Xenopus tropicalis: one gene and its partners. The protein of the gene in region 2 purifies or fractionates together with the protein of the main gene of each other region. This does not show direct contact. Links are inferred from orthologs where the notes say so. Each region holds a gene or a part of one and is shown on either strand. Other genes may lie near its edges. The genes, in order: vdac1, vapa, fam83g, rab3gap2, osbpl11, miga2 and acbd5.

Region 1 (3,390 bases), on a different chromosome or scaffold from region 2:
GATGAAGTTTATGAAGATGTGCTTCATTGTTTGTACTTACTGAAAACGAAGCATCACTATCGATTTGATATTTGGCTGCTATTCCGAAGCGTGTATTGCTGTTTCCTGCTGTCCATGCAAGGTTGATTGCAGTTTCCAGTTTATCATTAACCTTCTGATATACAGAACCACCAAACTCTGTACCGTCATTTCTGTTGGCAATATACCACAAATATTATTATTACTGGACAATTTAAAACATGCCAGCATTTTCTGCAACATTGTAAATGATCTGTACTTTTCAATAAAAAACCAATGCAAAAGGGCCCACAATGCAGTAGGGCTTACAATCCAAATAGGGATATGCGAGACACAACATATAAAATCGGTATGTTAGTGAAATGTTATGTTAATGGTTCTCACTGAGATAAAAACGTGTTACTTATAATTAGGATCAGCAAGGCTGATATGTCATTGCAGGAACTGAGGACTTTTTTTGTAGAATGTATTTTGTGCCTCTGTTCTCTGCAAATGAATTCCACAGGTATGGAGCTGCTCTGGTGTCCCTGTCCATATAAGTAAGTTACCAGGAAGCAGAAAAATCTGGAGGAATAAATGGTTGATTTGGGCTGCTCCTGTGAGAACCTTGCCTCAGGTGGCAGTGAGCAGCCAGTTACTAGGGTTGGCAAAAAGCCGCCTCTGGTAACTTTAAGAGCCAAATTTTCATTTTTTAAAACCAAAATTTGGGTCTGCTAGTGCAGACTTCTAGGTCAAGCCAAAAACATGAGAAAGGTTAGTTCTTCTGATGAAATGAACCCTAGCACATGTGCGTTGTATATACGTTATATTGTCAGCTTTATATGGGCCGAGTCTAAGTTACTTAGGGTTGAAGTTCAACCTCTCTAAACAATATTTATCTTCTATTAAAAAGTCTATGTCAAATGTCTATGATGCTTAGATATGACCAAATGCAAAAAAATATCTCAGGTACCTCATTCAGGAATCTTGGTAAACTATCCATATCTGGTATTGCTACACTTAGAAGATATGGGGCTTTCTAAATCAGATGTGTCTTTGTTTATAGTTTTTTTGGTCTATTTTAATTATGTAAAATATAAAAAATGCTATTGTGGGCAAAAAAATAAGTGCATGAATGTTATGAATAAGACCCTAAATCCTAGGAGTGCTGTGCTTGTTTCAGTATATATATATATATATATATACACAATCCATAAGATGCTCTGCAGTAGGACCCCTTGTATGTTAAAACCCATATCATTTCAGAATCCTTAACCATATTATAATATATGCATATTTATTATAGTCATATATATATTTTTTTTAATTCTGCGATACAGGTTTATATGTCACTGAAAATGTATTATTTTAGTTACCTTTAACTAGCAGCAGCCTATAAGGGGGTTAATGCCCCACTAATTGTTTTTATTAGTATGAGATAATAAAAGGATAATCCTGTATTCATTCATAATAGTCAGGGCAATGATTTGACCACAACAATGTTTTGCTATTTCTTTTTTTCACTAAATGATTTGCAATTGTCCACACCCCCTCGCAACAGTAGAAGCAATTCCTTGGCTGATTAGTATAACATTTAGAATTCATGGATATTTAGTACATTATTAATAATGCACTGTTGTTTATTGTTCATCGTTGTGGGTGTTTCACAATTTGCCATTTTTCTCATTATTACCATTACCTTTACAAGCTATTGTAGACTCAAACTAAATCTCTTGGAAAACAAAATGTTTCCCCACAGGGTAAAAGTAAAAGATCACAAAAATGTTTATGTGGATTAGCAGTGAAAGTTTTAACATTGTGCTGAATTGCTTATACAAGAAATGTTTTGTTTGACTTACACATTGGTATGCAACTGAAATTCATCAGTTTTGTATCCAACTGCAAAGTTGCTTTGGGAGACTCTGGACTTTGAGGATTCGAAAGTCATTTGGTAGCCAGCTAACCATCCCTCATAGCCAAACACTGCAGCTCCCCGCACTGATGGGCCAGCAATATCGAAATCCATGTCACAGCCAATGTTAAGGTGCTCTCGCTTGTATGCAGTCTTGACTTTTGCATTCTTCTTTCTATATAGTTTGAGAAAAGAATAAATTGGTATTAGGAATTATTATTAGCGAATAGATTCCCTTATCTGTTTTATAATATATATTGTGTGTTTTGACTTACTAAATATTCCTAATGCTATAATTTGGTGCTAATGCTTCTGAGGAAGTGTCTTTTGGCTACCAAGGGTGTCAAGCATGCACCCCCACCCCACCCCATCTGTTTACACGCCTGTTTAAGATATGTTTTATATACATATCAGTTTTACACAAAAGCTCTCCCCAGTATTCAGCGAGGATCAAATCTGGATAAAGCTTTTTTGTTTGCCAAAGTCACATTAGTTTAACCCAGTGAAATGCACTGTTTTTTCAATATTTTGAAGTGTTTGTGTAACCCAGCAAAACTTGCTAAGTTGTGTGAGGCAGAAAATCAAAGCAAAAGGTAATCCTACCAGTAACTAATAATAACACAAATAATTAATACCTCTTGCTAGTAAAGCCACACAGAGTTTCAGCCATCTTTCCACTACACTATACAGATTTAAATGTTGCCTAGATCTCATGCATAATTTATTTGTAAGCTTTACGCCTATCTATTTTCACTCACAGTAGTCCTATAAATTTACAGTGGAGCTGAGCAAGCATAAGGAGTCTGGCAAATCAGTTCCAGATGAGCTAAAAACCTATGCTATCTAGGAACATCCCTGTTGCCTGTCAGTGGCAAATTTGATACTGAAAAGAACTGGATGGTGTGGATGGCCTTTGGTTATCTGATTATGCTGAACGTTCTATAAATGTAATTATTCAGCCAGTTACAAGGATAGCTAGGACAGCAAATACGTTTACACCCCTGATTAGCCCTATGTGGAATTACCCTAATCTTTCATGCTGGGTCCCCCAGCTACTAATTCATGCTCCCCTTGGAGGGCTGTATATAATTAAAAACTCTCAGTTATTTAAGTGCAGATTCTTCTTACCCTGTGTTAGGAGAAAATGAAGAGTCAAATGTCAGCTTCAGACCCTTTGCAAGCTAAAGAGAAAACATATTATGTATTTAAATTGTAAGACATATCTTACTCACAAGTTCCAGAGTTAAATTATCTCAAATTAGGATATTTACCTGGTCTTCTACAGTGATCTCTGTCCCTAATGTGTTATCTGTATTCCACTTTTCTGTGAAAGTAAGGCCATATTCTGCCCATTTGTATTTGGTTTCCAAGCTGCCAGCAACTTTGTTAGTCTCTGCATTCGCTGATCCTGAGCTTGTAAATTCCTGTAAGTCAGAGAAGTATACACACAATATTCTGTTACTGGAAGTTGTGTAATCATG
Region 2 (3,939 bases):
CCCTAACTTAGAGCTTTCTGGATAACAGGTATTGGAATAAAAGCGCAAATACCTGCATATAAAGCTTTGACATCCCCATGCTGAAACAAAATCCAGTAATACCTGAAAACTAAACTCATAACTGGGCTTATGACAAATGCCTTACTACTACATTTCTTATTGTGTTACTGGGTGACCACAGACAAAAGTTGTTTCCCCAGTGTCTGTCAGATGAATACCTGCTCCATTAGATTAAGAATACATTAAACTCAGTAGTCCATTCAGGATTTGCCCAGATCCCTGCAAGTCTCAGACAAACCTTCTGAGCCTTGCAGTGCAATTTTGTGCTCCCACATGATGCCATTAGTATAGCTCTGTAGTGGAGTTTCTCATGAAAGGTGAATAATAAAAATTAAAAAATAAATTGTTTAGATTTTTTTTTTTTTTATGACAATAAGGACTGCTACTTCCTTGGTACATGTTTGTGAAGTGCAAAATAAGAAAACAAAGAAAATAGAGAAGCACAGGTTTTTGGCTTAGTTTATAGAATTAAATTGGACATTTATGACCAGATTGGGTGTTTTTTTTTCTGCCTGCACCTAAATGTCACCTAGGATGTTTCTGCAATCCTTTGGATCACTGATGGTCTGACCAAACTAAAAATTTGATCCAAAGCATATCTTTACTTAAAACCTGTAAACCTGACATACCTCAACTCCTTGCTCCCCATTCGTAGGAGCAGATCCTGTAGTGACAGAATTTTACATTACAATGTTTGTAAAGGAGATTTAAAAATGGCAATAACAGTAATGTTTAAAACACCTGTAACCTTCTGTAATCTTAACTTTAATGTAGGCAATTATGTTTCAAATGGGCAGAGAAATTGTGAAATTGCTTATAAAAAGCAGGTGAGGCGTAGGAGAAATAAAAAAAAGAACCAATGGATTCTGGGACATTCCTGCAACAGAGAAATACTGTACTGGTAAGAGTCCAAAGTTCCCTCAGGATTACCAAAAAAAAAAAAAAAAAAAAAACACCACCACACAAACACACTATAGGGACAGCAAATCTGTGTGGTTTGAGTCAGTTTAAAAACAGTTTTGTGGCCTGAAACCTATTTTCTCAGTATGCTTTTAATTGGATTTTGGATTATATGTTAAGAAATTAAAGGAGTTGACACCCCACAACACCTGGATACCTAAGGCTAAAACAGAGAGACCTGGTGGCCAAAAATAAATGTTGTCCTTGAAACCTGCTTAGAGTTCATCCTTTCACTTGTATTATTGATCTGAAATTGTAAGATCTCACCCACCTTATATTTCCTATCACAGTATTCAGGTGGCTATACACAAGAAGATTCACTCATTTGTCCAGGTTGCCAAATGAGCAGCTCTGTGCCCAATATGGGCACCTATGTGCTTGTTTAATGCCAGTTTTCAGAGAGTTCATTTAGTTCCCAAGAAGGCTACCAATATGTGCAGGCGCTGGTGTGGTACTTCGCTTTACAAGCCAATTATATGCTGGGCCATACTGGACTGATCTTCGGGCTAATGATACAGGCGGCCAGGAGAGGACTGCATAAATGAGGCAATGTAACCCATGCCCCAATAGGCATTTACTCCTGCCTGATAGATACCTGGGCAATCTGACAGGAGGACCCATACATGGGCAGATAAAATGTTCTGAAGGGACCAAATCAGCAGTTTAAACCTGCCCATGTATGGCCAACTATACTAATTGCCTTGTCAGGAACAACAGTCTGCCTGTGCACACTTTCATCTTATGTGAATCTAACAATACTTAAATTAAATCCTGAACATTAAACAAGTTTTCTGTACAGCTGCCCAAGCAATCTATGGCTACTGACATGACTGCTCTGAGCACACACACAACCCTGTATTTATATAGCAACAACGAACACCACATCATTTTACATTGATTATATATGATTCACATAAATCCCTGCCCCAGTGTATTTTACAATGTAATGCCCAATCACACCTGAACACCACAAGTCAAATAATATTTACTTATTGCTTTAGAGCTGCAAGAGTGGGAATCATGGGCCAATTAACACTTACTAAAACATTTCATGTAATGTATGTTTGATGTATACACCCTTCTACTGTACAGCATTGTGAAATCTGCTGGTATTGTACAATCACGTGTTATTCAGGCTGTCACTGTTAGTATTAGAAGTAAAACAAAGCACACTGTAAGCAGCTAGCACTGGCTGTCTCAGTGCCATAGACTAAAGGGCCAAGCTGCAGCCCTCCAGTGGTGGATAGGAGTGCAGCTGCCAGTACCAATGTGACAGAGATTAGCCACCCCGATTCACCACAACAGAGGCAACAGCAATCTCCACACTCTCTCCATCCATCAGAGGCCTTTTCCCCGCAAGACACAACTGGAAAGCGGGGCATTGTGGCCTCACATCCCGGAACCACATAACCAGATACGTCCCGTTACCTTTGAATTTCAGCTCGTTGGGCGGGTCAAGAATAAGGATTTGTTCGTGTTTGGACATGGTGACCCCGGGTGTAACTACCGCCATTCACCGCTCGGCTGGCCCACAACACGCAAAATAAGAGGAGGCCGCTTGTGTTACGTGGCCGAATATGAGATGTCAAATGAAGGCCCAGCAGGTAGGCAGCTGGGTGACTTAAAGAGGCAGCGAGCGCTGGAAGACAAGGCTGGAGCGGGGAGAACGGGCCAAAGCTGGCACAGCCTAGCGGTGTGGGCTCCGAGGCTCGGGTTACTATGGTCAGTTCAGTATCGGCTCTTTCCTCCTCCGCCTCCCCCCTTGCGCTCCTTGTCACCGCTGACTCAACACACAGTACAGTGCGGCAACCGCGTAATGCCCCAAGCGCGTCACGGCCGGGAGGAACACGGACTGGGTGACGTCAGCACGCACATGCGCGTAACAAGCGTGTGTCCTGGGTAACGCCCACTCGGGATTCGTCCCGTCACACACTTCCACATTAGTGCTTCAAAAACAGTACGGCGTTTTACAGCTGAGCACCGCGGAAGGGATAGCGGTTATGCTGCAACAAATGTGAAGGAAATGTTAGGGAATTTGAAACCAATACAAGTTAATGCTTATTTAGAATGAACGAGGTGTTTGTCAATTGCTTCCCTTTATGCCAGTTTTATAAACGCAGCCTATAGGCGTCGCGCTGTAGTATTCCCACAGGAACGACGTGAGACCACTCTGTAAAGCAACTTGCTCTTGCATGTTTATTGAACTATTCCACTGCATAGGTTCCATTATATTGCATATGGCAATAGACTGAATTTTTCAGTTTGGGAAAAATTGTTAAAGTTCCAGTAAAAATATAGAAAAAAAAGATGTATGTATTCATATTATGTGCATAAATTCTGGTAAAAAATGCTTTTGATTTGTTGTGGCAAAAATAGGCCCTGCCCACAATTACAAGCCGCAAGCACTTTTTAAGGGATCGCCCAAATCCACTATTTTAGGATCCGTCCAAACCCTGAACAATTTTGTGAAAGATTCGTCCAAGTACCGAACTGAATCTGAATCCTAATTTTAGGACGAGGAGGGGATAAAGTGCAGAGTAAAAAAAACTTCAACTTCCATGTTTATGTGACAAAATGTCACGTGATTTTAAGGAATCGGATTCGCTTCGGTCAGAGGCATAAATCTGCCCAAATCCAAATCCTGCTGAAAAAGGCCAAATCTTGGCAAAATACTGGATTTGGTACATCCCTACAACTTTTACATCGCCCGTCAACATGTTATGGTTTTGTCCACTTTAGAGTAAAACCATGTTGCTATTTCCATTTTACTATTTTCATCTTTGGAACAGCTTGATGCCCAGTATTCTTACATTTACCAAAGTATGTGGCATGTTGTGACCCTAATGCACCCAGCCTGCATTAGGCAGGGGGTACAACCTAATAGAAATCATAGAGTTCTATTTAACTTTTTATAACAAT
Region 3 (4,160 bases), on a different chromosome or scaffold from region 2:
TTCAGGCTCATATACAGACTTCTGTCCGTTAAACAAAAGCAATGTACGTCAGGGGCCCCTGCAAGGATCTCACTACACTGGCTATTCTCTCTATAACAGAGCTGTGCGTCTTTAAAAAGTTTTAATCTGCTGCTTTTGTTGACAGAAGGTGAAGAAAGGTTTGGCATACAGGTTGGCACCACTGCCTGCCGGGCAATAAAAGGATCACATCCTGGGCGTACAAGCAGCTTGGTGCCCGTACCCCGAGTCACATGTCTGTTCCCTGCAAGCTTATGCCATGGGGGTGAGATGGACCCCAGCACCTAAACCATAGTTGCCAAATTGCCCTGTGTGCCCATAGCCGTGCCCAAGTCTTCTAAATACATACGGCTGAAGGTTTCTATTGCATCACCTTACGGTGAATCCTCAATCAAGGGGCATGGGTGCAATTCTCCCAAACAAGTTGGGCAATGGGTGGCACCACCCTTCTACAGGAAATGGCTTTCCTCCTACGGGAAGTGTCTCACCCCCATGTTCCCCTGCTTTGCACCTCGGGGGAATGTCAGCATTCCTGAGCAATGAAGCAGGTCCCTAGGGGAATCACACGGGTGGATCAACCCATTCCGGCAGCACCCCTACAGGGAGTTGTATTGGAATCCACGCACTTGTGTTGAACTAAAACTCCCAGCACCCCTACAGGGAGTTGTATTGGAATCCACGCACTTGTGTTGAACTAAAACTCCCAGCACCCCTACAGGGAGTTGTATTGGAATCCACGCATTTGTGTTGAACTAAAACTCCCAGCACCCCTACAGGGAGTTGTATCAGAATCCACGCACTTGTGTTGAACTAAAACTCCCAGCACCCCTACCAGGAGTTGTATCGGAATCCACGCACTTGTGTTGAACTAAAACTCCCAGCACCCCTACCAGGAGTTGTATCGGAATCCACGCACTTGTGTTGAACTAAAACTCCCAGCACCCCTACAGGGAGTTGTATCAGAATCCACGCACTTGTGTTGAACTAAAACTCCCAGCACCCCTACAGGGAGTTGTATCAGAATCCACGCACTTGTGTTGAACTAAAACTCCCAGCACCCCTACCAGGAGTTGTATCGGAATCCACGCACTTGTGTTGAACTAAAACTCCCAGCACCCCTACAGGGAGTTGTATCGGAATCCACGCACTTGTGTTGAACTAAAACTCCCAGAGTTGTATCGGAATCTTGTTTTTCAACTAAAACTCCCAGCACCCCCAACAGACCAAGGGCAAGAAGGAAATTCCTAGAGTATTATATAAGCAGAATGGGAGTTCAATGACTATACCTTGGTCTGCGCTACGTGGATTATTGGCGACTGTGTCAGTTTATAGATAGGCGCAACGTGCCAACACGGCAAAACCATAGATCAGCCTCTGGCAATATCTCACCATATTGATGGACTGCAACTCCCAGCGACTGCCTGACAGCCGGAGTTGTAGTTCAACAGCTGGCAGGGCAGCAAGTTGCCAGAGGCTGTTAGACAGACAGACTGTTGGAGAGATGGAGTCACAGGTGGCTACAGACAATCACTCCACTGCCTGGCAGTCTCCTATAGATCTCCCTCTGTCTGTCTATATCAGGCTTAGAGAAAGATAGACAGACACATGAGATATGTATAAAGTGAGAGACAGCCAGAAGGAGACAGACTGCTGGACAGACAGACAGCCAGAAGGAGACAGACTGCTGGACAGACAGACAGAAGGAGACAGACTGCTGGACAGACAGACAGCCAGAAGGAGACAGACTGCTGGACAGACAGACAGCATGAGAGAGACAGCATGAGAGAGACTGCTGGACAGAGAGACAGCATGAGAGAGACTGCTGGACAGGCAGAAGGAGCCAGACTGCTGGACAGACAGACAGAATGAGAGAGACTGCTGGACAGGCAGAATGAGAGAGACTGCTAGACAGACAGAATGAGAGAGACTGCTGGACAGGCAGACAGAATGAGAGAGACTGGTAGACAGACAGAATGAGAGAGACTGCTAGACAGACAGAATGAGAGAGACTGCTGGACAGGCAGACAGAATGAGAGAGACTGGTAGACAGACAGAATGAGAGAGACTGCTAGACAGACAGAATGAGAGAGACTGCTGGACAGGCAGACAGACAGAATGAGAGAGACTGCTAGACAGGCAGACAGACAGAATGAGAGAGACTGCTGGACAGGCAGACAGAAGTTACATAGGTGCAACTATAACTCACCTTCTGCGCCTGGTTGATCATCTTCCTGACCACCTCCTTGATATGGGGCTGCCCATCTACCGGGGGCTGCATGTACACCGTGGCCCTGGTCACCCCCCGATAGGCTACAGCTTCGGGCCAGCCCAAGTCCAGCTCTGGAATGGAACAGTCCGATCTTTCGGGCCAGTACTCCAGCGACTGCCCCCCATCCTCCTCTTCCTCCCCACTATCCAGCTCGCCATCCTCCCCGGCCGCCCTGCAGTGGCCAGAGTCGGGGTCAAAGGGCTCCAGCCGGCCGGCGATCCTGCTCAGCTCCAGCTCGGAGAGGAAGTCCCTGATGTTCTCCTGCTTGACGACCCCATAGAAAGCGTCGGTCCCCCGGGCCAGCAGCGCCTCCAGGGCCAGCCTCTGCTCCTCGCTGTAGAAGAACTCGGCTTTGCTCTCGCTGGCCCTCCAGTTCACATGGTTATTGTCCAGGCATTGGAGCTGTGACAGCGCCATGGTGTGCCCTGCTGCCCCTCGGCAGATACCCGCTCTCTCCCCGACTCCTGCCTGCCGGCAGCGCTCCCCTCACTGATCCTCTCCTCACACAACTTACAGGTAGGGAACAGAGCACCGCCCCATCATGTGACGTGCAGCCATAACCCCGCCCATCCCGGCACTGACACGCCCTAAACAAAGTTGTAATGAGTTGGTTCCTCAGCTGCCTCTGCTCTAAAGGGCAACTCCACCCAAACACTGTTTACTGCATAAAAACAGAACACGTGTTTTCTAAGCAATGTTCCACCATAGTTTCATTAAAAATTGCCTTTCGTTTTAAAACTATTTGTTATTGAAAACTGTTTTGTTATCCATTTCTGCACTCTGGTTCTGACTAGCAAAACAAAGTAATGGCGGTCTGTCCTGTTTAAAGGGTGCTTCACCTTTAGGTTAACTTAATATGTTATAGAATGGCCTATTCTTAACAACTTTCCTATTGGTCTTCATTTTTTATTGTTTATAAACTATTTGCCTTTCTCTTCGGACACTTTCCAGCTTTCTAATGGGGGTCACTGACCCCGGCAGTCAAGTAACAAGTGAGGCTACAGTCTTATTGTTACTTTTTATTACTTATTTGTCTATTTACTCCCTCCTCTATTCATATTCCTGTCTCTTTTCCAAATAACTGCCAGGTTGCTGGGTTAAACTGGACCCTAGCAACCAGATAGCACCTGAAATTCCAAACTGGAGAGCTGCTGAACAGGATGCTAAATAGTTCAAAAACTGAACTAATAAAAATGAAAGAACAATTGAAAATTGCCTCAGAATAGCATTTCATACTAAAAGTTCATTGAAAGATTGACATCTGCTATATTGTTTCAGGAGTCAGAAGCAGAAGAATAGACAATATAAACAGATAGATAGATAGATAGATAGATAGATAGATGCTCCTTTTTCAGGTAGAGTTCTCCTGTAAGGGGACATTATCACCATGGGCAATGTTCTATAGATACTCCAGTTCAGCTGTTGACTTGATCTAATGTCCCTATCATATTTAGATACAGAGGGGCCATTTTTTTTATTGGAAGCCAATTAACCTGCCTGTATGGTTTTGGAGTGTGGGAGGAAGCATATATAATGCCCTGGCCAAACAGGAGCCCAAACCTTCCTGTATTGTTAGGGGGCCTCCTGTTCCTCCAGTTCCAGCCACAAAAAAATTATAGAACACATGAAAAGTATTTTAGGTCCTTCCAAATCTTACTAAAAATGATCTTATCCATAAACATTTATTGAAATTGTAAGTCTGGGCTCTGAAGGGGCCTCCCACAGTCCTGAGTGGGTCAGCTTCTTCTCTTGTGGCTTCCAACTGCCTTCTATTTCTTTCTCTCCAGCACAGCAGTTCTGTTACACTTTATGGCTGAGATTCTACCTACCTTTAGAACAGAGCATTCAGACAACAGGGGTCTGAGATCTTACC
Region 4 (2,639 bases), on a different chromosome or scaffold from region 2:
TGTTTGCCCCACACACAGGGCCGGCTGTTTGCCCCACACACAGGGGCCGGCTGTTTGCCCCACACACAGGGGCCGGCTGTTTGCCCCACACACAGGGGCCGGCTGTTTGCCCCACACACAGGGGCCGGCTGTTTGCCCCACACACAGGGGCCGGCTGTTTGCCCCACACACAGGGGCCGGCTGTTTGCCCCACACACAGGGGCCGGCTGTTTGCCCCACACACAGGGGCCGGCTGTTTGCCCCACACACAGGGGCCGGCTGTTGGCTGAGTTGGCTGCTAGGATTGGCCTGCGTTTGGTGATGTAACTAAGGGATATGTCATTTGATTTCTTGCTTTGCTCCCAGAATGAGAGAATCTGATTACAAATCGATGTTGGGCCTCATTAGGGGCTTTGGCACATACGGGGGGTTCTGGGGGCTGCTTGTGGGCAGGATTATTCCTTATGGGGAATGGCTGCGATGAGACACGAGTGCCGCTGCCCTAAGGGGCCTATTGCACGTAGTGATTCACGATGAAACTTTATGTATAAATCATAGATTGCAATAAATAAGGATCTCTGTGGGACAGAGCGACACGGAACATATATACTTGCATATTCATGATAGGCGAGACCTTATTGGCCGAGGATTAAAAGGAACGATGAGGAATTATGAACGCGGTGCTAGTGCCGACACTTATCTTACAAAAAGCCCTGAAACCCCAAAGCAACCGCTCTATCTTACATGCAGGAATCTCTTTCCCCGTCCCCCACCCCCAGGTCATGGCGCTAAGGCCAATCAAGACATGGCTTCCACAGCCTCTATCAGGTTTAAGGCAAGACTGTACTGGCCGTGGTTCTCAGGCAACAGTTCAACCACTTTATCCACGAGCTTTGCTGTAGCGTCGATTGGCACATTCGTGTTCTGCAGCTCCTGGGGGTCCTGAAATAGATGAAAGGATGTCATTTACTAGTACTGTACAGGTATGGGATCCCTTATCCAGAAACCCATTATCCTGAAAGTTCCGAATTATGGAAATGGAAATGACTCCATTATAAGAAAATAATTCTTATTTTTGAAAATGATTCCCTTTTTCTCTGTAATAATAAAACAGTACCTGTACTTGATCCCAACTAAGATATAATTACCCCTTATTGGGGGCAGAACAGCCCTATTGGGTTTATTTAATGGTTAAATGATTCCCTTTTCTCTGTAATAATAAAACAGTACCTGTACTTGATCCCAACTAAGATATAATTACCCCTTATTGGGGCAGAACAGCCCTATTGGGTTTATTTCATGGTTAAATGATTCCCTTTTCTCTGTAATAATAAAACAGTACCTGTACTTGATCCCAACTAAGATATAATTACCCCTTATTGGGGCAGAACAGCCCTATTGGGTTTATTTCATGGTTAAATGATTCCCTTTTCTCTGTAATAATAAAACAGTACCTGTACTTGATCCCAACTAAGATATAATTACCCCTTATTGGGGCAGAACAGCCCTATTGGGTTTATTTCATGGTTAAATGATTCCCTTTTCTCTGTAATAATAAAACAGTACCTGTACTTGATCCCAACTAAGATATAATTACCCCTTATTGGGGCAGAACAGCCCTATTGGGTTTATTCAATATGTAAATGATTTTTAGCAGACTTAAGTTATGCAGATCCAAATTATGGAAAGATCCCTTATCCGAAAAACCCCAGGTCCCGAGCCTTCTGGATAATAGGTCCCATACCTGTACTATAATGTTCTCTGGGAGGGGGTCCTACATCGGCAGCAGCATCTGTTTAGCGCAAGTGGTGCTGCTGTATTGTCTGTGGGAATTCCCATGCCCAGACAAGCAATATGGCGGCTCTCAGACAAGCAATATGGCGGCTCTCTGGTTTCCAGCATACAGTAAGGCCTACCTTACTACTATACTTTTGTGCTATAATAATGTAGTGACCGTTCCATGCTCCTCCCATCCCGCAGGCTCTTACCATTGCTTTTATCCACGTGCAGAGAGTGGGAGGAAGCCTTGCCAGTAGCTCCATGCCCTCCTTGGTTTGTGTGTGTAGCAGAGCGTATGCCAGGCGCTGCCCCGTGAGCACCAGTAGCTGAGACGCCAGCACCTCCTTGTCCAGTACTCGGAGAATGGCCTGCCAAGGAGACACAGCGAGAGGGATATTACCTACGTGCAAGGATACAGGCGCCATTCTGAGCTCTGGCCCGGATCCTAGACTGGCACATCCGTTACGGATACATTTCATTGGCCGAGCAGGACAGGAAGTCACACTCACCTCTTCCGCCAAGTGATCGAAGCCGTAGCTGTACAGCTCACACACGTAATGTCTCCATATTGTATCTTCATTCACTTGTAGGTGCCGGGCCAATCCCACAGCCAGCTCCGGCCAGTCCACTGACTTCTCGGGGATTTCGGCTGCAGAGTGCTCTGACTGGGTGGGCTCCTGAGTCTCCGCCAGCGTCTGGATGGCTGAACTGATCACCTTTAGCAAAAACTTGGGGCAGGAGAGAAGGAAATGTTATTATTTTGTGTGTTACTACTAAAATGCACAGAGATCTAATGTTCCATCTCATTCAGGTGCAAATATATGTGTGTGGGCCCTGTTACTGGCCGAACATCAGCCACTTATCAATCGGCAAGCTAAAGG
Region 5 (3,500 bases), on a different chromosome or scaffold from region 2:
GGAGACAAACCCACTCACACACCCAGAACGACATCCTTAGTGGGAGACAAACCCACTTACACACCCAGACCGACATCCAGTGGAGAAACCCCACCCAGAACGACATCCCTAGTGGGAGACAAACCCACTCACACACCCAGAACGACATCCCTAGTGGGAGACAAACCCACTTACACACCCAGACCGACATCCCTAGTGGGAGACAAACCCACTCACACACCCAGAACGACATCCCTAGTGGGAGACAAACCCACTCACACACCCAGAACGACATCCTTAGTGGGAGACAGACCCACTCACACACTCAGAACGACATCCCTAGTGGCAGACAGACCCACTCACACACCCAGAATGACATCCCTAGTGGGAGACAAACCCACTCACACACCCAGAACGACATCCCTAGTGGGAGACAAACCCACTCACACACCCAGAACGACATCCTTAGTGGGAGACAGACCCACTCACACACTCAGAACGACATCCCTAGTGGGAGACAGACCCACTCACACACCCAGAATGACATCCCTAGTGGGAGACAAACCCACTCACACACCCAGAACGACATCCCTAGTGGGAGACAAACCCACTCACACACCCAGAACGACATCCTTAGTGGGAGACAGACCCACTCACACACTCAGAACGACATCCCTAGTGGGAGACAGACCCACTCACACACCCAGAATGATATTAGTAAGGGTCAATACACATTGATCTCACTACCTTCTCCAATCATGGTCACGCCAATGGACATCCCCATGAATTTGCTCTTTGTCCAGATGTGGGTGTTGACACACATTCGGCGCTCCGGACACTCAGCATAGAACCCTGAGACCGGAGGATGATGGGAGACCTGCTCAGCCACAAACCTAATGGTGTAAGAGTCTGGTTTATTTGAGTCCTCCACAAGCGGGGCCTGATCCTGTGCTTTGGGGGGCTTCTCTGTGGGGTTAGAAAGCTGCAGAGAATCTTTGGGTACCCTCCAGGAGCAGTGAAATGTCTCCCCAATGATTGGGTTGTATGGCTTTTTGGCCAGCGCCCCCTTGCGTCCTTCATGGAAGGAGGTCAGGTAATATTCCACAAATCTCACCATGCGCTCCTCGGGGGTGAGGCCAGCGCTGATAGACAGGAAGAGGTCTGGGTGGGACAGGAAGTCGGCGTACATCTCTAGCAAGGAGCGTTTCTCCAGGATGAAAGTGGGGAGGACCACCTAGGAAAGAGAAACATGGAGTCAGTCTCTGGGTGAGTGAGAGAATGGAAGCTCCTGGGAGCACTGCCTTACCCGGGTCAGATCCATGCCCAGTTTGAGCTGGGATAAGAGATGCAAAATGACGCTGCGCTGCTCCTCCACGGCCCCCAACTCATCCTCTTTGAGATCACACCCGTCCTCCACCTCATCCTCTGGGTTTATGTCTTCAGGTTCCTATGGGACACAATGGGACTATGGGAGACAAATCCTGGGCTTCCCGCTCACACCCAACTTCTACTCAGTTTCCCTTTTTCTCCCACTTAAAGGAACGAAACCCCCAAAAATGACTCTGTAAACTAATTCAGAGTGCTCCTCTGAGCACATTTGCATTTTTGTGGTATCGGAGATATTTGCAGTTTTAGACTGCTAATACAAGGCCTTGGGCTCGGCAGCTCTTAAGAGTATCAGGGAGCCCCGAGGCAGAGAATGTTAGTTCAGTGTAATCCTACAGAAAGGAATAGGAATGTACCAATCAGTGCAACCCCAGCAAAGAAACAACTTCCACCACCTTTTTATTTCTTTGCCCCCCCCCCCGTACCCCACAGACCTTACCCCAGAAGCCAGGGTGCTATCAGACAGGGCCTGCGTCTCTCTCAGAAGCTCTTGCTCTTGGCTTTCCGGCAGCGCCAGGCCGGACTCCTCCCCATTATTCAGATGATTGGGAATTTGGATTTTCGCTTCCAGCCAATTGATCGCTGTACCTGGAGTGAGAGGAAATTTGCTCATAATCCAGAAGAAGCAGAGCGCTCAGTGGGCACAGTGTGGGCAGCCGGGGGCTCCTTGGCAACCCATATAACCCAGATGCTGCGGGCACGAGCGGGCACCAGTCTGCCAGGTAACTCGTTTCTAATTGTTCAGCTGCATCTCCAACAGGCAGCACCTTTCCCAGCCATTAGCATACTGCAATACGATTGGCTGGAGAGTGTCACCTGAATCTGCCGGCACAGTCTGGGAACCCGATACGGGGGGGTGTAAAGCGACACGGTGACAGGAAGAGAGCCCAGTGTCCTGTACATGACCCAGATGTGGCGGCGCCAGGTCCCAGGCTGACAGAACCGAGAGGCACAAGTAGTGCCCAGGCCCAGCTGGGAAGAGCCTAACTGCCCCCTAGTGCCCCCTGACCCTCCCACAAGCAGAGAAATGATAGGGACCCAGCGCAGGGCACTTTCAGCTGTGACCCCCCCTGGAAAGAGACTCGGAGCTCCCGTTACCTCCCGACTAATCTGCCAATCACATGAATTATTCACTTGTTCCATTCTCAGGCTGCGGCTCATCCAAGCAACATGTGCCCCCCCCCCCCCGACTGCTTAACATTTACTGACCCCATTTACAGAAAGTCACTCGGCTGCTGAGTCACATGGAGAGGTGTCACAATTCTCCCCCTTTCCCTATTATTATTATTCTCATTACATATGCTAAGGATCTGCTCGTCTGGCCGCCTCCCTATCTGCCCCTTTGGCCACAAACTACCAATCAGATCATTCAGCCCAGGGGGCCATTGATTGTAGATCATGTCCATTGGGTCCTTAGCCAAAAGGAGTTCCCAGCCAGCCCAACCAGAATACAAATGAATCCTGGTCGGCTATATGGAGCTTTTTGGGTTACTATGGCTACCAAGAGTGGCCGAGTCAGCAGCCAATGCCCCCCCGGGTATGGGTGCCCCCTATAACAAGACTCCATGCCTGAAAAACACAGTACCAGCCAATAAAAATCACTTTATATGGCTTCTGGCAGCCTTTGGTTTTTATGGGCATTACTTGCCAATCCATACACATGGGGGGTTCTCTTTGTGCCAAACTATCTAAATTTTACCGATTATGTTGGGGAAAGTTACCTTGGTCTTCATTTTTTATTATTTGTAGTTTTTTAGTTATTATCTTTTCAGTTCAGCGGCTATTTGGTTGCTAGGGTCCAAGCGACCTTAGCAACCAGGGAGTGGTTTGGATGAGAGGCTGGTATATGAATAGGGGAGGGGCTGAATAGAAAAATAAGTTATAAAAAGTAACAATAGAACTGGAGCCTCACAGAGCAATAGGGTTTGGCTGCCGGGGTCAGTGACCCCCATTTGAAAGCTGCAGAAGAAGAAGAAAAAAGGCAAATAATTCATTAATTACTATAAAAAATAAATAATGAAGACCAATTGAAAAGTTGCTTAGAATCGGCCATTCTATAACTTTACTTTTTGTTTCTTATTACTCTATACAGGCCTCTCCTATTGATCTCCTAGTTTCTTATTCACACCACTGCC
Region 6 (4,182 bases), on a different chromosome or scaffold from region 2:
AAAAAAAAAAACATTTCTGATTATATATTGCATGCATGAAATAAATGTGTGCGGTGTGTGTGTGTGTGTGTGTATATATATATATATATATATATATACACACACACACACAGTGACTTGCAAAAGTATTCGGCCCCCTTGAACTTTTCCACATTTTGTCACATTACAGCCACAAACATGAATCAATTTTATTGGAATTCCACGTGAAAGACCAATACAAAGTGGTGTACACGTGAGAAGTGGAATGAAAATCATACATGATTCCAAACATTTTTTACAAATAAATAACTGCAAAGTGGGGTGTGCGTAATTATTCTTTGGTCTGAGTGCAGACCCTTTGAGATCCTGAGACCCTTTGGTCTGAGTGCAGTCAGTTGCCCATAGACATTGCCTGATGAGTGCTAATGACTAAATAGAGTGCACCTGTGTGTAATCTAATGTCAGTACAAATACAGCTGCTCTGTGACGGCCTCAGAGGTTGTCTAAGAGAATTTTGGGAGCAACAACACCATGAAGTCCAAAGAACACACCAGACGGGTCAGGGATAAAGTTATTGAGAAATTTAAAAAAAGGCTTAGGCTACAAAAAGATTTCCAAAGCCTTGAACATCCCACAGAGCACTGTTCAAGCGATCATTCAGAAATGGAAGGAGTATGGCACAACTGTAAACCTACCAAGACAAGGTTGTCCACCTAAATTCACAGGCCGAACAAGGAGAGCGCTGATCAGAAATGCAGCCAAGAGGCCCATGGTGACTCTGGACGAGCTGCAGAGATCTACAGCTCAGGTGGGGGAATCTGTCCATAGGACAACTATTAGTCGTGCACTGCACAAAGTTGGCCTTTATGGAAGAGTGGGCAAGAAGAAAGCCATTGTTAACAGAAAACCATAAGAAGTCCAGTTTGCAGTTTGCCACAAGCCCTGTGGAGGACACAGCAAACATGTGGAAGAAGGTGCTCTGGTCAGATGAGACCAAAATGAAACTTTTGGGCCAAAATGCAAAACGCTATGTGTGGCGGAAAACTAACACTGCACATCACTCTGAACACACCATCCCCACTGTCAAATATGGTGGTGGCAGCATCATGCTCTGGGGGTGCTTCTCTTCAGCAGGGACAGGGAAGCTGGTCAGAGTTGATGGGAAGATGGATGGAGCCAAATACAGGGCAATCTTGGAAGAAAACCTCTTGGAGTCTGCAAAAGACTTGAGACTGGGGCGGAGGTTCACCTTCCAGCAGGACAACGACCCTAAACATAAAGCCAGGGCAACAATGGAATGGTTTAAAACAAAACATATCCATGTGTTACAATGGCCCAGTCAAAGATCTGAAAACTGCTGTTCACAAACGCTGTCCATCTAATCTGACTGAGCTGGAGCTGTTTTGCAAAGAAGAATGGGCAAGGATTTCAGTCTCTAGATGTGCAAGGCTGGTAGAGACATACCCTAAAAAACTGGCAGCTGTAATTGCAGCAAAAGGTGGTTCTACAAAGTATTGACTCAGGGGGCTGAATAATTACGCACACCCCACTTTGCAGTTATTTATTTATAAAAAATGTTTGGAATCATGTATGATTTTCGTTCCACTTCTCACGTGTACACCACTTTGTATTGGTCTTTCACGTGGAATTCCAATAAAATTGATTCATGTTTGTGGCTGTAATGTGACAAAATGTGGAAAAGTTCAAGGGGCCGAATACTTTTGCAAGCCACTGTATATATATATATATATATTCATATAAATGCAGCCACATGCTTTGACCTCTGCAGTTTCCAGGAGATGAGGTGCAGTGACAGTTAGTATGTTGCCTTGTAGTGCTGGGGGTTTGATTTTAGCCAGGGCAATAGCTGCAAGAAATTGTATGATCTCTCTTCAGGCCTGGACTGGCAATCTGGAGAATATGGCAAATGCCAGAGGGGCTGCTGTAAGATGCCATAGACAGTTGCTATTTATTGGGCCTGTGGGGGTCAGGGCCTATTTTGAGTCCCAATCCAGACCTGTCTCTGTGTGTTTCCTCAGGGCACTCTGCTTTCCTCCCACACCCCAAAAATATACTGGGTGGTTAAATGGCCCCTGATAAAACTGAGCCTAATATAAGGACTTTATCACTAGGGTATTTTTAAGACATGAGCGGCAGCACAAGGGTTATGGCACACAAGAGAGGATGAAGGAATTCTCCGGCCGCTGTTGAGAGGCTTCAGGGAGAAATCTACTCATCACCACTGGTCACAGGGGGGTGACATAATAAGTAATGACAGGCTCAGCTGATGAGTTTGGCACAAAAATGGCATCATGGTGTGGCAGTCGCCTGACTGGTGTGTCCCACTGATACACAATAACCAATTCCTCCCCACTAGTGGCCCTACACATATCTGCCTGCGGGGCAAAGTAAAGTTAAGACACATCACTGCTTGTGTTTGGTTACTATGGGCAACTGCACTGAGCTTCCTGTCAATCCGGGGCCCATTGGGAGAACTAACTAGTGATCAAGTGGCTGGAGCCCATAGAGGCTCAGCTGCCAGTCACTAGGTTCCAGAACACTGCAGCTCTGTGAGTTCGCACAGGCGAAACCCAGACATATGTATCGAAACGGTGATGTATATTCTAACGCAGCAAGATCAGCGCGGTACCAGTGCCCGGCCCTAAGCATAAACAGTTCCAGAGCTGTTATTCAGGGACCGGCAGTCACTCACCCTCTCACTCCTCAGAAGGACAAGCTTCTCCTCCGCTCTCTAGCGTCTCCGCGCAGCTGCCAGTTCCTAGTTGCAAATGGTCGCGAGTGACATCACAAAACGTGAGTACGTGGTGACGTCTCCACACTTAACATTCAGCGCTTTTTTCAAACGGCTGTAGATAGAGTGTAGGTGAGTGCGGGCTCAATGGTTTACTCGGAAGCCGCGGAGAGAGCGGCTCGATACAGGCAGTGTTTCCATTGGGGGGGTTTGTGTACTTTTTTGTTTTGACGGCAGATTGGGTTAGTTCTATGGGGGGTGGTGGGATGAGCTGCGCTAGGTTTGTCTGTGGGGGGTATTTGACTCTAGGGCAGTGTGTGTGGAAACTAAAGCTATCTATCGAATGTGAGTGGGCTGTGGCAGCAGGAAAGGTCTCTGGTTATGGATGGGGGGGGGTTGTAGGTGTGTAAGTAAGGCATTAGACAGACATGGGTGCCCATTTTGAATTCACCCGAATGTGTACTTTCCAAAAATATATGGGTTTGGGGGGGATCAACGTATTGTAGGGGATCAAGAGAACTCTTTCCCCTGTTTCTGAGTCTGTGACATTATCCCGCCTGGCTACAGACTGGGGAGGAACCCGATTGGCTGGGTGCCCCAGTGCAGGGCCGCCCTTACCAACTGTGGGGCCCAATTGGAGCCATTTTTACGGGGCCCCCTTAGTACATGGCACTATCCGGGACAGCGGGATGCGCTATTAAAACTGATTCCGGGGTGCGGGGCCCAATTGCAGGTAATAGGTCCAATCGGCCTAAGGCCGGCCCTGCCCCAGTGCGCTGATGGGAGAGAACGGTGTGCCTAGGTTTGGAGCCAAAAATCAGGGGGGGCCCAGCAGCTTATAAAGGGAGCCCCTGTTGTTTTGCCAGAGTTGAGACAGAGAGATCCAGTAAGCAGTGACAGTGTGAAGGATTTGAGTGCCTGTAAAGAGAGATCTGCTACACTGCTGTTGGATGCCTTTACCCCCTGCAGATCCCAGTGAGTGATCCATCTGAGGGAAAGGTATTGGAAGTCTCCTGTGTGTGTCCCCTGTGTGAGGACAGGTGTTTCTCAGGGCCTGCTATGTGGGAGCAACTGCCTATTCCAAAGGGAGAGGTACTTTGGGGCGGGTAGCACTACCTGGGAAACTAAAAGAGCTCTGGGGAAGGGACTTTGCCAGGACTGAACTGGGAAAGGGTATTTCCTCCAGGAGTGGAGTGTGGAACTGAATCCTCAGAGAGACTGAGCCAGTAGTGGCTAAACCAGAGGTGGGCAAACTACGGCCCGCGGGCCACATCCGGCCCGTTGGCCTTTTTAATCCGGCCCGCCGACTCCGGGTCCCTTTAAATAATTTCTGGGCCCTGATTGGTTGCGCTTCGTGCGTGCTCGTGCGCAGGGGGCGCAACCATAAAAAGGATGCAGCGGGGAGACGGGGAACAGACGCAGCGGAACGATGGAGGGAGCTGCAGGTCGGA
Region 7 (3,500 bases), about 80 Mb from region 2:
CATCTCTGGTGTCTTGTAAAGGCTTCTATGTGTCTGTGAATGACTTAGCCCAAATGATACACCTTCTATGCTACATCCCCCTGTAGGATTACACACTAATTTGTTATTGTTCATATACTTCCAGCTTTCCTTAAACTACCTTATTGTGCATACAACTTCCACAAGAACAGTGGTGTAGCAAAGCCCTAAAGCTCAACATACAATTAGCACATGGATCTATATTTGGTTTGGCTACCCAAGATGTGTGTTTGAAAGCCAGATTAAATGTTTTAGCCCTCATCGACTGCTTGGAGCACATTGGAAGCCTAATAATAAATTGCATGTGATTTGGTTGTGTTTCTTGTGTTGAGTTGGTTTTGTGTATGCACCTCTGTCTGCTTCAGGATCATTCACAGGACTGTGTGTGTCCGGAATGGCCACCTTATCTCCTGGCTCACTGAGACATTTGGAAGGGAGGGGAGTTGGCTCCTCTGTTACCAACTCTCTGTGGTTTCTGGTTAAACCATTAACAATACTCTCTGCAGGCTTCTCGTGTCCAGGCTGCTGTTCCACATCTTTGTCTTCTGTAAGGAAATGCAGGAAGACAACAAGACTGTATTGATTAGTAGAATATCATACAAAGGAATAAACCTTACATTAAGCCAAATGACTACAGAAAAAAAATAATTTAAAAAAATAAATACAGAGTGACCAATTAAAATAGAGTGAAATTGTGTGGGATGTGAACTTTGCCTTGTGTCCTTAAACATAGAAGTGCAGATATAAAAGCCCATTTATGACATCTTTGAATCTCACCATGGTACAATAATGTAAATTTGAGTGTGAGCCTCAAGGCTGCAGTTTACTCTCAGCGAGCACCTGTAACATAATGTGAGTTGAATATTTCTGGTATTATAGCACAGTAAGTACTACATAGCATTTAGATGAACCATTAAAGCCCCATTCTCATTACAGACTATGATCTAACTCAGCTTGACTAAGCTACTGGGTCTGAGTTGGATCACAACCGCACCCATGTCTATGAGAAAATCGGTCACCTGAATGCATTATGTAATTACATAAAAATCATCTGAGAGTGCAGCCCTTACAAATTGCTTAGTCTGCTTCAATAAGGATGGACTAGCTATGTATATGTGTTTCCAAATACCCAATAAAAAAGGAGGCTGAGGTTTCACAAACTATTACCTTGCTCGCTATGCTCACTTTCCTCTTCTTCATCTTCCTCCCTAACTTCCTTTGTTGCTGCCTGTTCTTCATCTGACTCTGCGCCGCTGTCACTGCTCTCTGCCTTGCCATTCACTGCCTTGCCATTTGGTGTAGATGTCAGGACACTGCCAAGTTCTAAAAAAAAAAAAAAAGATATTCAGTGTAGGTAACAGTAACACTGCTTGTCTAGCACAACAAGCTAACCCTGATCACAACACAGTGACTTTATTAAGCCCAATATGAAAATGATCCAATCTAAGAGGCTAAAGGTTTAAACTAATGTACCTAAACCTGATATATTTATATGTTATTCTTAAAGGGCCACTATACAAATCACTTTTTATTTTCCACATGTATATTTTTAATGGGGATTAATTATTTCCATCCCTTGGCTTTAAACCTCAGCTTCAATAATAATATTGTTGACCAGGCTTCCAGTATTAGCCTTGTCTAAACTGACACGGTCTCTTAGGCTGACTGGATCACACCTTCCTTACTTGCTTTACAATCCCCTACCAAGGAGCCAGAGAAGGGATGGGTGTGACCCGAAATCGCTGAGGGGATGGTCAGCCAAAGAGGGCCATAAATGGAGTTTACTATAGCAGATATTACTCTATAATCTTTGTCAGACTTTTCAGAAGGATACCATTAAATTGTCAGAAAAATTTGCCTCACCTCTGAGGGTAAAATGGCCCTTTAACAAAAAAAAAAGTGACAAAGAAACTAGTCCCATGATGTTAAATCAGCGAAATGTACAGAATATTAACAGTTTGAATTTTGAAAAATATACAAAATATTGTTGAAACATGCTTTACACACCGTGGAGAGTGTGATTTCCCATGTGCAACAAAATGCCCTGTAGGCTGCCATATAAATATTGCATTCATTGCCTTTAATGGTAAAGGCAGGAAGGGCAATTTTAAGTGTTTTTCATTCTGTAGAAGGACAAAATGCTCAAAATCATCGCCCGTTCAAAGTAAATGGGGTCACTGCCAAGCACTGTATTCAATCAAGTGACCAGTGTTTATCATTTAAAAACACATAGCACTGCATTTTCCAGTAAAATGCTCTGGGCTACAGTCCAGACCCATCGCTTGGCAAATATTTTAATTTAATTTGAAAAAAGTTTCTCCTACCCATGGGGTTACAAAACTCTCAAATAGTTTAAGTCTCCCTGTCGGCCATTACTCGTGTTCAAACACAAGCCACATATAAACTTAAAGGACAGGATTTTTTTCCCCTCCTACCTTCTAAAGATTTAGTCACTCTGTCCAGTCGTACTGGCATGTGAAAGGAGAGAGAAGAGAAAGATCTGATTGCTGGAGACAGACAGAGAGCAGAGAAAGAAACAATGACTATAGAGTACTATGAAACAAAACACGAGTTAAGCCCAACCTGATGTCACACCAGATCCTCGCCCATGTTTTTTGTCTTCCACTATTTCATAAAACGGACCTATGACTTGAAGCAATTCTTCCACTTTTTCCGTCACTGGCATAGTCTCAAGGATCTAGCGTCCAAAAGGCAATATGTCATAAAACAGTAAAGAGGCAAAGTCATGTTGCTTTGTCCACTCACTTTTTCTCTGTCTGTAGATTCATTAAAAAGGATACCAAGGATACAGGGTTTGTGTTTTGCTCTATTGCATGGTTATTTGAGCAGCAAGCAGCTCATGGATTCAACATTCGGACAAATAAGGAGAAGCAGGCAGCTACTACTGTATGTTTTGCTGCAAACAAAGCAATAGTGATTAGCTGACTTCAATTCTGTATGCTCCCTATTTTTAACTTTTTCTGATACAGACACTAACTTGGTCACCAAATTATTATGACTAAATGTGAAAATAATAAAAGGAATATATATAAAAATATATATATTCTTAGTTAAAAAAAGAACTAGGTTTGCTTTATCCTTTTTACATCTTAAGGCCAATGGCACACAGCAATTTCCTGTATTTTGCCCACCACCTTTTTGGTGGAGGGCAAAACACATGAAATTGGACCAGGAGGTTTGATACTAAGTAGCTCAGTGAAGGGGTTAGGGGTCTAGACTGAAGATCAATCATACCCTCCCATATAGATTGTAAGCTCTACGGGGCAGGGACCTCCATCCTCTTGTGTCTTTGACTCTTAACTTATTGCAACTGTATTTATCTTGTATCTATCTGTATTTATTGTTGTACTTTGTATTTATCTATTATTATCTTAATAATCCCGTTTGTATTAATGTATTCTACTGTACAGCGCTGCATACATAAGTAGCGCTTTATAAATAAAGATATACATACATACATT

Evidence for each region.
Region 1: the proteins of vapa (region 2) and vdac1 fractionate together in Homo sapiens (co-fractionation; 3 studies listed by BioGRID and IntAct, with this or other methods). This does not show direct contact. The link is inferred for Xenopus tropicalis from reciprocal best matches to the Homo sapiens genes VAPA and VDAC1.
Region 3: the proteins of vapa (region 2) and fam83g purify together in Homo sapiens (co-immunoprecipitation; 3 studies listed by BioGRID and IntAct, counting the BioPlex papers as one, with this or other methods). This does not show direct contact. The link is inferred for Xenopus tropicalis from reciprocal best matches to the Homo sapiens genes VAPA and FAM83G.
Region 4: the proteins of vapa (region 2) and rab3gap2 purify together in Homo sapiens (affinity purification with mass spectrometry; 3 studies listed by BioGRID and IntAct, with this or other methods). This does not show direct contact. The link is inferred for Xenopus tropicalis from reciprocal best matches to the Homo sapiens genes VAPA and RAB3GAP2.
Region 5: the proteins of vapa (region 2) and osbpl11 purify together in Homo sapiens (co-immunoprecipitation; 4 studies listed by BioGRID and IntAct, counting the BioPlex papers as one, with this or other methods). This does not show direct contact. The link is inferred for Xenopus tropicalis from reciprocal best matches to the Homo sapiens genes VAPA and OSBPL11.
Region 6: the proteins of vapa (region 2) and miga2 purify together in Homo sapiens (co-immunoprecipitation; 3 studies listed by BioGRID and IntAct, counting the BioPlex papers as one, with this or other methods). This does not show direct contact. The link is inferred for Xenopus tropicalis from reciprocal best matches to the Homo sapiens genes VAPA and MIGA2.
Region 7: the proteins of vapa (region 2) and acbd5 purify together in Homo sapiens (co-immunoprecipitation; 4 studies listed by BioGRID and IntAct, counting the BioPlex papers as one, with this or other methods). This does not show direct contact. The link is inferred for Xenopus tropicalis from reciprocal best matches to the Homo sapiens genes VAPA and ACBD5.

The regions. Positions count from the first base shown.
Region 1 is NC_030679.2:22,887,148-22,890,537, reverse strand, and holds part of vdac1 (voltage-dependent anion-selective channel protein 1), read right to left. Parts: intron 3,334-3,390; coding exon 3,181-3,333; intron 3,091-3,180; coding exon 3,038-3,090; intron 2,085-3,037; coding exon 1,857-2,084; intron 192-1,856; coding exon 41-191; intron 1-40. UniProt on the Homo sapiens protein: Non-selective voltage-gated ion channel that mediates the transport of anions and cations through the mitochondrion outer membrane and plasma membrane.
Region 2 is NC_030682.2:104,674,008-104,677,946, reverse strand, and holds the start of vapa (vesicle-associated membrane protein-associated protein A), read right to left. Parts: upstream 2,801-3,939; 5' UTR 2,507-2,800; coding exon 2,449-2,506; intron 1-2,448. UniProt on the Homo sapiens protein: Endoplasmic reticulum (ER)-anchored protein that mediates the formation of contact sites between the ER and endosomes via interaction with FFAT motif-containing proteins such as STARD3 or WDR44.
Region 3 is NC_030685.2:18,622,776-18,626,935, forward strand, and holds the start of fam83g (protein FAM83G), read right to left. Parts: upstream 2,801-4,160; 5' UTR 2,705-2,800; coding exon 2,225-2,704; intron 1-2,224. UniProt on the Homo sapiens protein: Substrate for type I BMP receptor kinase involved in regulation of some target genes of the BMP signaling pathway. Also regulates the expression of several non-BMP target genes, suggesting a role in other signaling pathways.
Region 4 is NC_030681.2:10,598,879-10,601,517, reverse strand, and holds the end of rab3gap2 (rab3 GTPase-activating protein non-catalytic subunit), read right to left. Parts: intron 2,487-2,639; coding exon 2,268-2,486; intron 2,127-2,267; coding exon 1,968-2,126; intron 922-1,967; coding exon 778-921; 3' UTR 501-777; downstream 1-500. UniProt on the Homo sapiens protein: Regulatory subunit of the Rab3 GTPase-activating (Rab3GAP) complex composed of RAB3GAP1 and RAB3GAP2, which has GTPase-activating protein (GAP) activity towards various Rab3 subfamily members (RAB3A, RAB3B, RAB3C and RAB3D), RAB5A and RAB43, and guanine nucleotide exchange factor (GEF) activity towards RAB18.
Region 5 is NC_030685.2:89,887,235-89,890,734, forward strand, and holds part of osbpl11 (oxysterol-binding protein-related protein 11), read right to left. Parts: intron 1,954-3,500; coding exon 1,805-1,953; intron 1,427-1,804; coding exon 1,286-1,426; intron 1,214-1,285; coding exon 727-1,213; intron 1-726. UniProt on the Homo sapiens protein: Plays a role in regulating ADIPOQ and FABP4 levels in differentiating adipocytes and is also involved in regulation of adipocyte triglyceride storage. Weakly binds 25-hydroxycholesterol. Interacts with OSBPL9 to function as lipid transfer proteins.
Region 6 is NC_030684.2:21,660,416-21,664,597, reverse strand, and holds the start of miga2 (mitoguardin 2), read right to left. Parts: upstream 2,801-4,182; 5' UTR 2,693-2,800; intron 1-2,692. UniProt on the Homo sapiens protein: Regulator of mitochondrial fusion: acts by forming homo- and heterodimers at the mitochondrial outer membrane and facilitating the formation of PLD6/MitoPLD dimers. May act by regulating phospholipid metabolism via PLD6/MitoPLD.
Region 7 is NC_030682.2:24,939,412-24,942,911, forward strand, and holds part of acbd5 (acyl-CoA-binding domain-containing protein 5), read right to left. Parts: intron 2,717-3,500; coding exon 2,602-2,716; intron 2,487-2,601; coding exon of another isoform or gene 2,454-2,486; intron 1,342-2,453; coding exon 1,186-1,341; intron 564-1,185; coding exon 369-563; intron 1-368. UniProt on the Homo sapiens protein: Acyl-CoA binding protein which acts as the peroxisome receptor for pexophagy but is dispensable for aggrephagy and nonselective autophagy. Binds medium- and long-chain acyl-CoA esters.